Linked DNA regions of Xenopus tropicalis. The main gene of each other region encodes a partner of the protein of the gene in region 2 in a complex. Links are inferred from orthologs where the notes say so. Each region holds a gene or a part of one and is shown on either strand. Other genes may lie near its edges. The genes, in order: gjc1 and tjp1.

Evidence for each region.
Region 1: the proteins of tjp1 (region 2) and gjc1 are in contact, whole or in part, in a crystal structure (PDB 3SHW), measured with the Homo sapiens proteins. The link is inferred for Xenopus tropicalis from reciprocal best matches to the Homo sapiens genes TJP1 and GJC1. Residues at the interface, in NP_003248.3 of Homo sapiens: Lys429, Ser432, Val433, Gly434, Leu435, Arg436, Leu437, Gly449, Val450, Leu451, Val484, Leu487, Leu488, Leu549, Asn551, Gly552, Lys553; in NP_001073852.1 of Homo sapiens: Lys391, Thr392, Ser393, Val394, Trp395, Ile396.

The regions. Positions count from the first base shown.
Region 1 is NC_030686.2:17,914,348-17,918,787, reverse strand, and holds the start of gjc1 (gap junction gamma-1 protein), read right to left. Parts: upstream 3,061-4,440; 5' UTR 2,792-3,060; intron 1-2,791. UniProt on the Homo sapiens protein: One gap junction consists of a cluster of closely packed pairs of transmembrane channels, the connexons, through which materials of low MW diffuse from one cell to a neighboring cell.
Region 2 is NC_030679.2:97,716,125-97,719,946, forward strand, and holds part of tjp1 (tight junction protein ZO-1), read right to left. Parts: intron 3,085-3,822; coding exon 2,979-3,084; intron 2,266-2,978; coding exon 2,115-2,265; intron 673-2,114; coding exon 564-672; intron 432-563; coding exon 212-431; intron 1-211. UniProt on the Homo sapiens protein: TJP1, TJP2, and TJP3 are closely related scaffolding proteins that link tight junction (TJ) transmembrane proteins such as claudins, junctional adhesion molecules, and occludin to the actin cytoskeleton.

The DNA.
Region 1 (4,440 bases), on a different chromosome or scaffold from region 2:
TTACTTGCCCTTTAATTCATTAATACTGGCAAGTAATTTCACTATAGCTGGATTTGTCAGCAAGACTATTATATAAAAAAACTTGCTCCTCATGGAACTAATATAAAAGATAACCCTTATATGGATAGTCTGCAATTTTTGCCTCCCTATATCAGACTTTGACTTTTCAAATAACTGCCTTTTAACGTTATCATTACAGCATTATAGTAGCAAGAACTTTTTTACACTATAATGAACTGAACATTATTCTTGGTCCTAGGGTAATATATGAATTTGCACAAAATGTTGATATTTAATGAATTTCTATCTGGTATTTGTGCAAGTAAAGTAAAGGAACCCGATGCCAAGTGCTTCTTGTTTGATGAAACTTTAAATGTGTAAAAATGACCAGTATGAACATATGGGGGTTCCTAAATCATTTGTTTATTTAAATTTAAATATTTTATAACCCTGTCCAATGTTGTATACTATCACAACAGTGTGAAGACCTAACTTACAAAGGAATAGAAGAGCAGGCTCTATAATAAAAAACCTTTTTTACCTATACAGGTATAGGATCTGTTATCTGGAAACCTGTTATCCAGAATGCTCCGAATTACACAAAGGCTATCTCCCACAGACGTCATTTTAATCAAATAATTAAATGTTTAAAAAAATGATTTACTTTTTCTCTGTAATAATAAAACAGTACCCTGTACTTGATCCCAACTAAGATATAATTAATCCTTATTGGAGGCAAAAGAATCCTATTGGGTGTATATAATGTTTAAATGATTTTTTAGTAAACTTGAAAGGGGGAGTATTATCAATGTTTGAGTTTGATTTTTTTTCACGATTCTTTTTGCACTAAATTTGAATTCAAATAATGGTTCAAAAACTCGAATGTCTGGTATTTATTAGGTCCCATAAACCCTGATATTTTCAGAGCATGGTTCATATGGCATCAAACGCACAAAAAAAAAAAAAAATCAAAGCATACACATACTAAAGATAAAAAATATTTTTAAAAAATCTAAATATTGATGGTGCGCTGCTGATCACAATAAATGAGTCAAACGCCCTTTGTTGCTCCTATTTTGGATTCTGGAGCAAAATAGGTCCCCCAGCTGTATGGATATAGATACCTATGCACACTGAATCATATACACATAGAAAGACACAGTTTACCTCCATGTGTAACCTCACGATATCAGGGTTAAAATATAATGTATTGAGGCAATGGGTTTCTGTATCTGTGTCCTGCACTTGGAACCCTGGCTTACAGATCTAATCGGATCTCTCAAGCATAATGTACATCTTACACAGGGGGTGCTTAAATTAAACATGTTCTTGATAACGGGTAAATGAATGAGCCACACTGCATCATGAAGATAGGGTTGCTGATGAAGTTCTGTTCGAGTTTTGAACTACTTACTTGGAGAAATGGGCTCACAGTAGTTAGATACCTGTGCATGGCGTTATAAGTGCTAGGGCACACTTAGTATTTTTACCCTGGGACGCTTCACAGCACAGCAAATACACATTTTGCTGCAACAAATAATTCACGCAATCTTGCACGTTAAGGCTTTCCAGGCTCATCATAATACATACAGCTCAAAGCCAATTATATATATTTTATTACAGTATTATTTAATGTTAGAAACAGCCAATTGCTATAGTAGTACATTTTTCAAAGCAAGGACAGTTATTGCCGTTTGCAGTAAATTTACGAAGGACCCCCATAGGATGGAAGCCCAATACATACATTAAGTCACATAACTTTTATGAGAGCAGATTAGGCTCAACTTTGAGGTATATGAATTTTGCAAGCAGTGGTGGAATTCTAATAAATCCTGGATACAGCCATACTCTAAATACCGATGAATATAATGGCACACGCTGACCTGCAGGGATGTTGCTAGGTTCCCATTAGACCTGTGGCACAGGAAAGCAACCCAACATAACACAATGACATTGATATTTAAACTAAGTGCCTAAAAAATGCAATAATGTGGTATTAGATGTACTGAAATTTTATCCCACGTGTTGAATTCACACTTCTATCCACTGCTAGGATACAGAACCTTAAACCTTTATTTCTGACAGAAAGGTGCCTTTCCCCTTCTCCTGGATTTTCCAGAGAAAGGCAGAAAGAATTCCTAGCGCTGCCTCCAGTTTGCCTTGCAGGAGGAAATTCCTTTGGACTCAGAAATGGCACTTGTACCGACTAAATGAGTATGAATGGCAGTAATACACATAACTAGTGTCCTCCGTCACACACACCCCAGGCAGTGCTGATCCCCTTAGATACACTGGGAACTGAGGGGGCTACAATGAATTTCACTTTTAAGCTGGGTACAGGCGCCCAACAGACTTTGGCCAGTGGAAACCCTAACTTGTCTCCAAAAGGAACCCCACCAGAGACAGTGGTGCGTGCCATAAATCTATGGCAGCCCCAGCAGCAGTTGCGTGTGGGGGGGGGGGGGGTCAGCCCTGTGTGCCAGGGGGATGGGAGCAGGAATAAACTCTAAATATCCTCACAAAAGGCACTGACTTTTAATCACCCTATATTTAGGGGAAAATATTAAAATTACTTACTCATTAAATAAATGGGCATTAAGTATTAATCACTTGGTCCAGTACAAACCAGACAATAACTGATCAATCATTTTACTGTTTAATTTGGGAGATTCCCTCCTCCCCTGCCCACAATTAGTTAGTGGCACCCACACATACACACACACACATACACATACACACACACAGTCCCACTAGTAGTGACACACAAGCAGAGAGAGACATAGGCACTCACCATGCAGTATCTCAAAGCTCCTTCCCGCTTGAGTCCTTCCCTTTCTCTTTTCGGGACAGGGACAATCATGTGACCATTTCCCCCCTTCTCTCAGTAACAAAGGCGGCTAAAAGGACAGCTGCTCCTGCTGTTCCGCCTCAGTGCCCACAGAGACCCCATAGGGTTCCAGTTTGTGCAGGACCCCAGCCTAAGTCTCCTTCCCCAGTGAACAGACAAGCAGTGTGATGACAGGCAAGTGACTGGCCGGTTCAACTTGGAACTCCGGCCCCTCACTACTATCCAATGGCAGCTCAGCAGCAGCCGCACAGACTACTATAGTGCTTCGGAGCTGAGGGAAGAGGAGGAGATTTAAACTTTTTTTTTTTTTAATTAAAACAATAAATTCACTTCTTATGTTCCACCAGCTCGTGTTCTTACTTAGTGAGCACTAAATTCCATGAGGCAGCCCCTGTGCCCCAGAACTGTGTGGGGCAAAAAGGGGGCATGCTGCGTGTCTAAAGATGGCCGTGGTGTCAAAAAATGCTCATGGGCATTTCACACATATACATACACTTAAGGTGGCCACACACGTGGCGATTTGCGATCTTTCGTGCGACCATCGGTCACATGAAAGATTGTACAATCGGCCACAAACCGTTCTGGGCTGAAATGGCAGATAAGGAGGTAGAAACAATAGGAATTCTACCTCCTTGTGCCGATTCAGCGCTGAAGGCAGATTTGGTCAGGCGCCTTCTATGGCGCCCGATCAAAATCTTTTGATCGGGCGTACGATATTATCGGTGCGTGTATGGCCAGCTGTAGGTAGCCATGTAGCAGGCCGAGACTGGGATTCATAATAGGCTCTGATATTTTAGGGCCACAGAGGCCGTTCCTGGAGCTGCTGCCGCCCATCTTTCCCACTCCGCACCTATAATTTTAGTGTCGGAACAGGTCCAGAGGGGACTGCATTGCTAGTTCCCTTTAAAAAGTAAATTCAGCTCTTAGTTACCAGAGGCGACTTTTTGCTTTTTAACTTTAGCTACACATATTGCAGGGCACTTCCTTACTATACACACTACCCCTGTTACATCCCTTTCACGTGACTCTGTGGTTCCTTACTATAACCGAATCCCAAGTTTACAACTTTTTCCTCTGACACCATTATGCCTTACTATTCACATTATTCCACAGTTACAGGTAAATATATATCTGTGGAGCATGGTGGAGTTACTTTATTCTGGTACAGTGAAAAGCCCTAACTGGCGCATTTGTCCAGTGGTAGATGGGTGTCTCAGTCCCAGTGTAAGGGGGCAGTCCCAGTCTGGGGCAGTTCTGGGGTTGAGTGATGGGTCCCAGTATCTCCTTTCTATTCCAGTTTAAATCACCTAAATAGATTCTAGTTTGACAAATTCATATGTGCCTCTCCCCTCTGAAGTCACTCATCGTTCTCCCCACCCCTACTATACACTATTGGACTTTCTCACTGCTTCCTGTCATTCCCAAACCAATTCCTTCCCTCCAGTCTGTTACTTCCCATCATTTTTGGATCCCCCCTTAGTCTTTGTCTTGCACCTTGGGTGCTTCTTCTGCTGCTCAGGGCACACTGGTCTTACACTCTCTTCAAATATTCCCCTTGTCACACTTCCAGCATTTAGCAAGTAGCCAGCCAT
Region 2 (3,822 bases):
TTCAGATGTATTTGACCCATAATATTAAAACAAACACGCTTCCTTCTTCTATTTTACATGGTTTCACTGCATTGTGAAAATGTATGCTGTATGTCCCCTTTAAAGAATCCACTTTGACCCAACACACAAGCATAACCAAACAGCTCTACTATCCATACAGTTAAAGTACACAAAAATACAAAAGAAACCTGTAAAACTGGTAACCACTTACCTATTCTTGTTGGGGATTATCCCTCTTTCCACCTCCTTGTGATTTCTACCAATTCTAATGGCCAACCATGACCCTAGTTTGCCATTGTAAAGAGTATCCACAACTCGAAAGACCTCTCCTTTGTTGAAACTTAGCCCGTATGGTGACTCTTTCTCATATTCAAAGTGAGTTCTTATATAAAATGAATCCCCAACATCTGACTCAACAATGCGGCGATACACTGGAAACACAAATATGGTACATTCTAAATTTCAGCATGAAGAGGTAATGCTTGCAAAATATACAATTGTTTAATTAATGATAAACACAAATATTTTCATATTCATGGCCAACTTATGGCAAGAAAACTTACCATCTTTCTTTTTCTGAGCAAGAATGGTAACCTCTTCTCCTTTGGGCAGATCAAGAAGGAACAGTACCGCTTCTTCCCTTATTATATTGGTGAAATCCACATTGTTAACCTAAAATTAAATTTAATATTTGCATTTAGTTTGGATTATTTAGAACTGAAGGTTGCACAAAAACAACCAATCCCACTTAGCACTTTTATTTACAAGGGTCATCAGAAATTATGGGATAATAAAGCAAAACATAGTTCACTTGGCTTAATTCAAGCTATAAGAACACTATACACCCTGTAGCTAATTGTCACATTAGGCATTTCTCTGGAAGTGGAAACAAAATTAATGCCAGCCAATTCTGCCCCATGCTATTAATGGCATCCATGCGTCACTGTGAACACAAGGAGGATTTCGGCCATTTATGCACAGCTGTATTTGGGCCAAAATGTGCCTGTTATTCAGTGGCAAATGGGTGCCATGTTTTTCCGTCTAGCAGAAAAAAAGCATAGTGTGAGATTTTATATCAAGGAGTATTGCAGCTCGCAAACACATGAATACAAACACATTTGTTTTTTAATAAAGCTTCCTGAGGGGAATATTACAGATTAAAAAAGTGAAATTAAGCACTTCCTTGTTCTTTGTCTATTTAACATTGAATAACTAAAATCCCTGCTAAATAATAGTAGGTGGAATGACACACTTAAAGGGATACGGTAATGTTTTTTATGGTATAATTTTTATTTCTAAATTACACTGTTTACATAGCAAATAATTCACTCTACCATTGAAAATGTTATTCTTGAACCAACTAATGTATTTTTTTAGTTGTGATATTGGTGTGTAGGCAGTGCATTGTGCCTGAGTCTGAGCTTTCAGAAAGAGCCAGTGCTACACATTAGAACTGCTTTCAGCTAACCTATTGTTTCTCCTACTCTCATGTAACTGGAGAAGTCACAAGCTGGACTTGTATTTTCTACCATGGAGCGCTATTCTGATATCTACTGGGAGCTGCTATCTTGCTAGCTTTCCATTGTTCTGCTGATCAGCTGCTGGGAGGGGGGTGATATCACTTCAACTTGCAGCTCAGCAGTAAAGTGTGACTGAAGTTTTTTAGAGCACGGTCACATGGTTGAGGCACTCTAAGAAATGAAGAATATGGCTAGCCCCATGTGAAATTTCAAAATTAAATATAAAAAAAATCAGTGTTTTTGAAAAACAGATTTCAACGCAGGATTCTGCTGGAGAAGATCTATTAACTGATGTGTTTTGGGGAAAAAAAACATGTTTTCCCATGACAGCATTCTTTGTTTAAAACAATCATTTATACTAATCTATTTCAAAGTTTATGACAACATGAAAATGTAAATGTAGTAGTTGGGATTTTCATGTTCCATTGAGGGTAAGTTAACCTTGTGAGTGTAAACTTCAGGAAATAGTGTGATATCCATAAGCAACATTTCTACTTTTTCCACCTGTATTTCTATTATGTACTTTTATTAATGCTCATAGCATAACAGTAGAGCTGAAAAAATCTTGCATTATAAAATTTTACTGCTACTTACTCTGAGTATCTGGTCCCCTTCCTCCAAACCTTCTTTTGCGGCAGGACTGTCGTCTAATACACCAGCAACAAAAATTCCCACATCATTACCACCAGCCAAACGAAGGCCTACACTGTCTCCTTTCCTGAACTTCACCAGTTTCATGCTTGGCCTCCAAAAAACAGAAGTAAATTTAGCATGGAACAAATAAATCTAAGCAAAGTTTATAATATCTGAACTATCTGTATAATTTTTAGAAAAGACGTACTAAAAAAATTCATACATGCTACAGCATATATTCAATACACACTGTGTAAATAACACTAAACAATAATTAAACAATCTATAAAACAAATTTATTTTCTCTCAAATGTCCCTGTGGATTATAGAATTCTTCTTTGAAAAAAATTTTTTTTAAGGTTTACATTTGGGGTAGCACTACAGTTCATTTAACTTGGAAGGGCACCTCTTGGCCCTCTTACTGTTGATAAATTAGTGCTGATTGAAATGCAAGGGAGTATGTTGAGTATTTCGATGAAAGAGGCCACTAGCTTATACAGTGGCAATTCTCCTTGGTCAGTCAGGGTGAGGACACACAGAGCTACTTAGTAGCATCTTCTTGCTAAGGTTACTTAACACCAGAAAATGCTCTGCCAAAGACAATACTGAGAATTGCCTCTCCTATTGTTATAAATAAACAATCAGCATTGTCTATTTTAGTAGCCATGACAAGCAGTTGCTACTAGTAGCTCTGTGTGTCTTCACCCTAAAGAAAGAAGGTGGCTACAAAGCACCTATTCTTAGAAGAAAGGAAGGATTCCTTAAAACAGTTTTAATAACAATTTTAAGCATTTTTAAATGTTGTTAACAGAAAGTGTGCATTACCGAAGCATGCCATCTTCATGTGTAGAATTAGGGAAAGGTCCATCAGATGGGCTGACTGGCAAATCCACATCTGGTTGTCCTGGCTGGGCATATACAGGTTTTGGCTCTGTTAAAGAAATTAAAATATAAAAAAAAATAGGCTTGCATTGCAAACATTTTATAATAATTAACCCCCCAATCCCACCATTATGGAACTCACCAGATCCTCCAAAGGGACCACTAGCAGGACCCAGACCTATTATGTGTGGAGGCATCTAAGAGCTTCTCTAAAACAAATCAGCACATTGGATAAAAACTCCTTTATACCACACACCAAAGCCTATTTGCCTGATTCAAGCTCACTACTTCACACATGGTGTACTAAGTTGGCAGAGTGGCTCTGACTTAGTACTGTATTCATTTTACAGATTATTCAGGGCTTTAGTGTATTATATGGATATACAGTCGTAGGATAGCTCTATTATCCAGAAAGCTTGGAATGACGTTTCCCGTTTATTTTTACATTTATTTTATTTTTTAACAGTTTCCTGTAGTTATAAAACAGTGCCTTCTACTTGAAGGTAGCTAACTGCATAAATCCATACGGATAGCAAAACAATCCTTTTCAATGCTTTTTTTAAAAATGTAAATGTTTTTTAGTAGATGTAAGATATGGTGCTCTAAATAGAAAAGTAAAAGATAGATTGAATTATTGTAAGTGAAAAGTTACCTAGTCTGTTAAAGGACACCCATGCAAAATTTTCAAGAATTTGGCACCCATGGTTAAACTACAGATAAACTGGTACATCATCGAGCACCCTACTTTAATTGCAAATAGTAATGAGAGATGCTTCCGGATGTACTA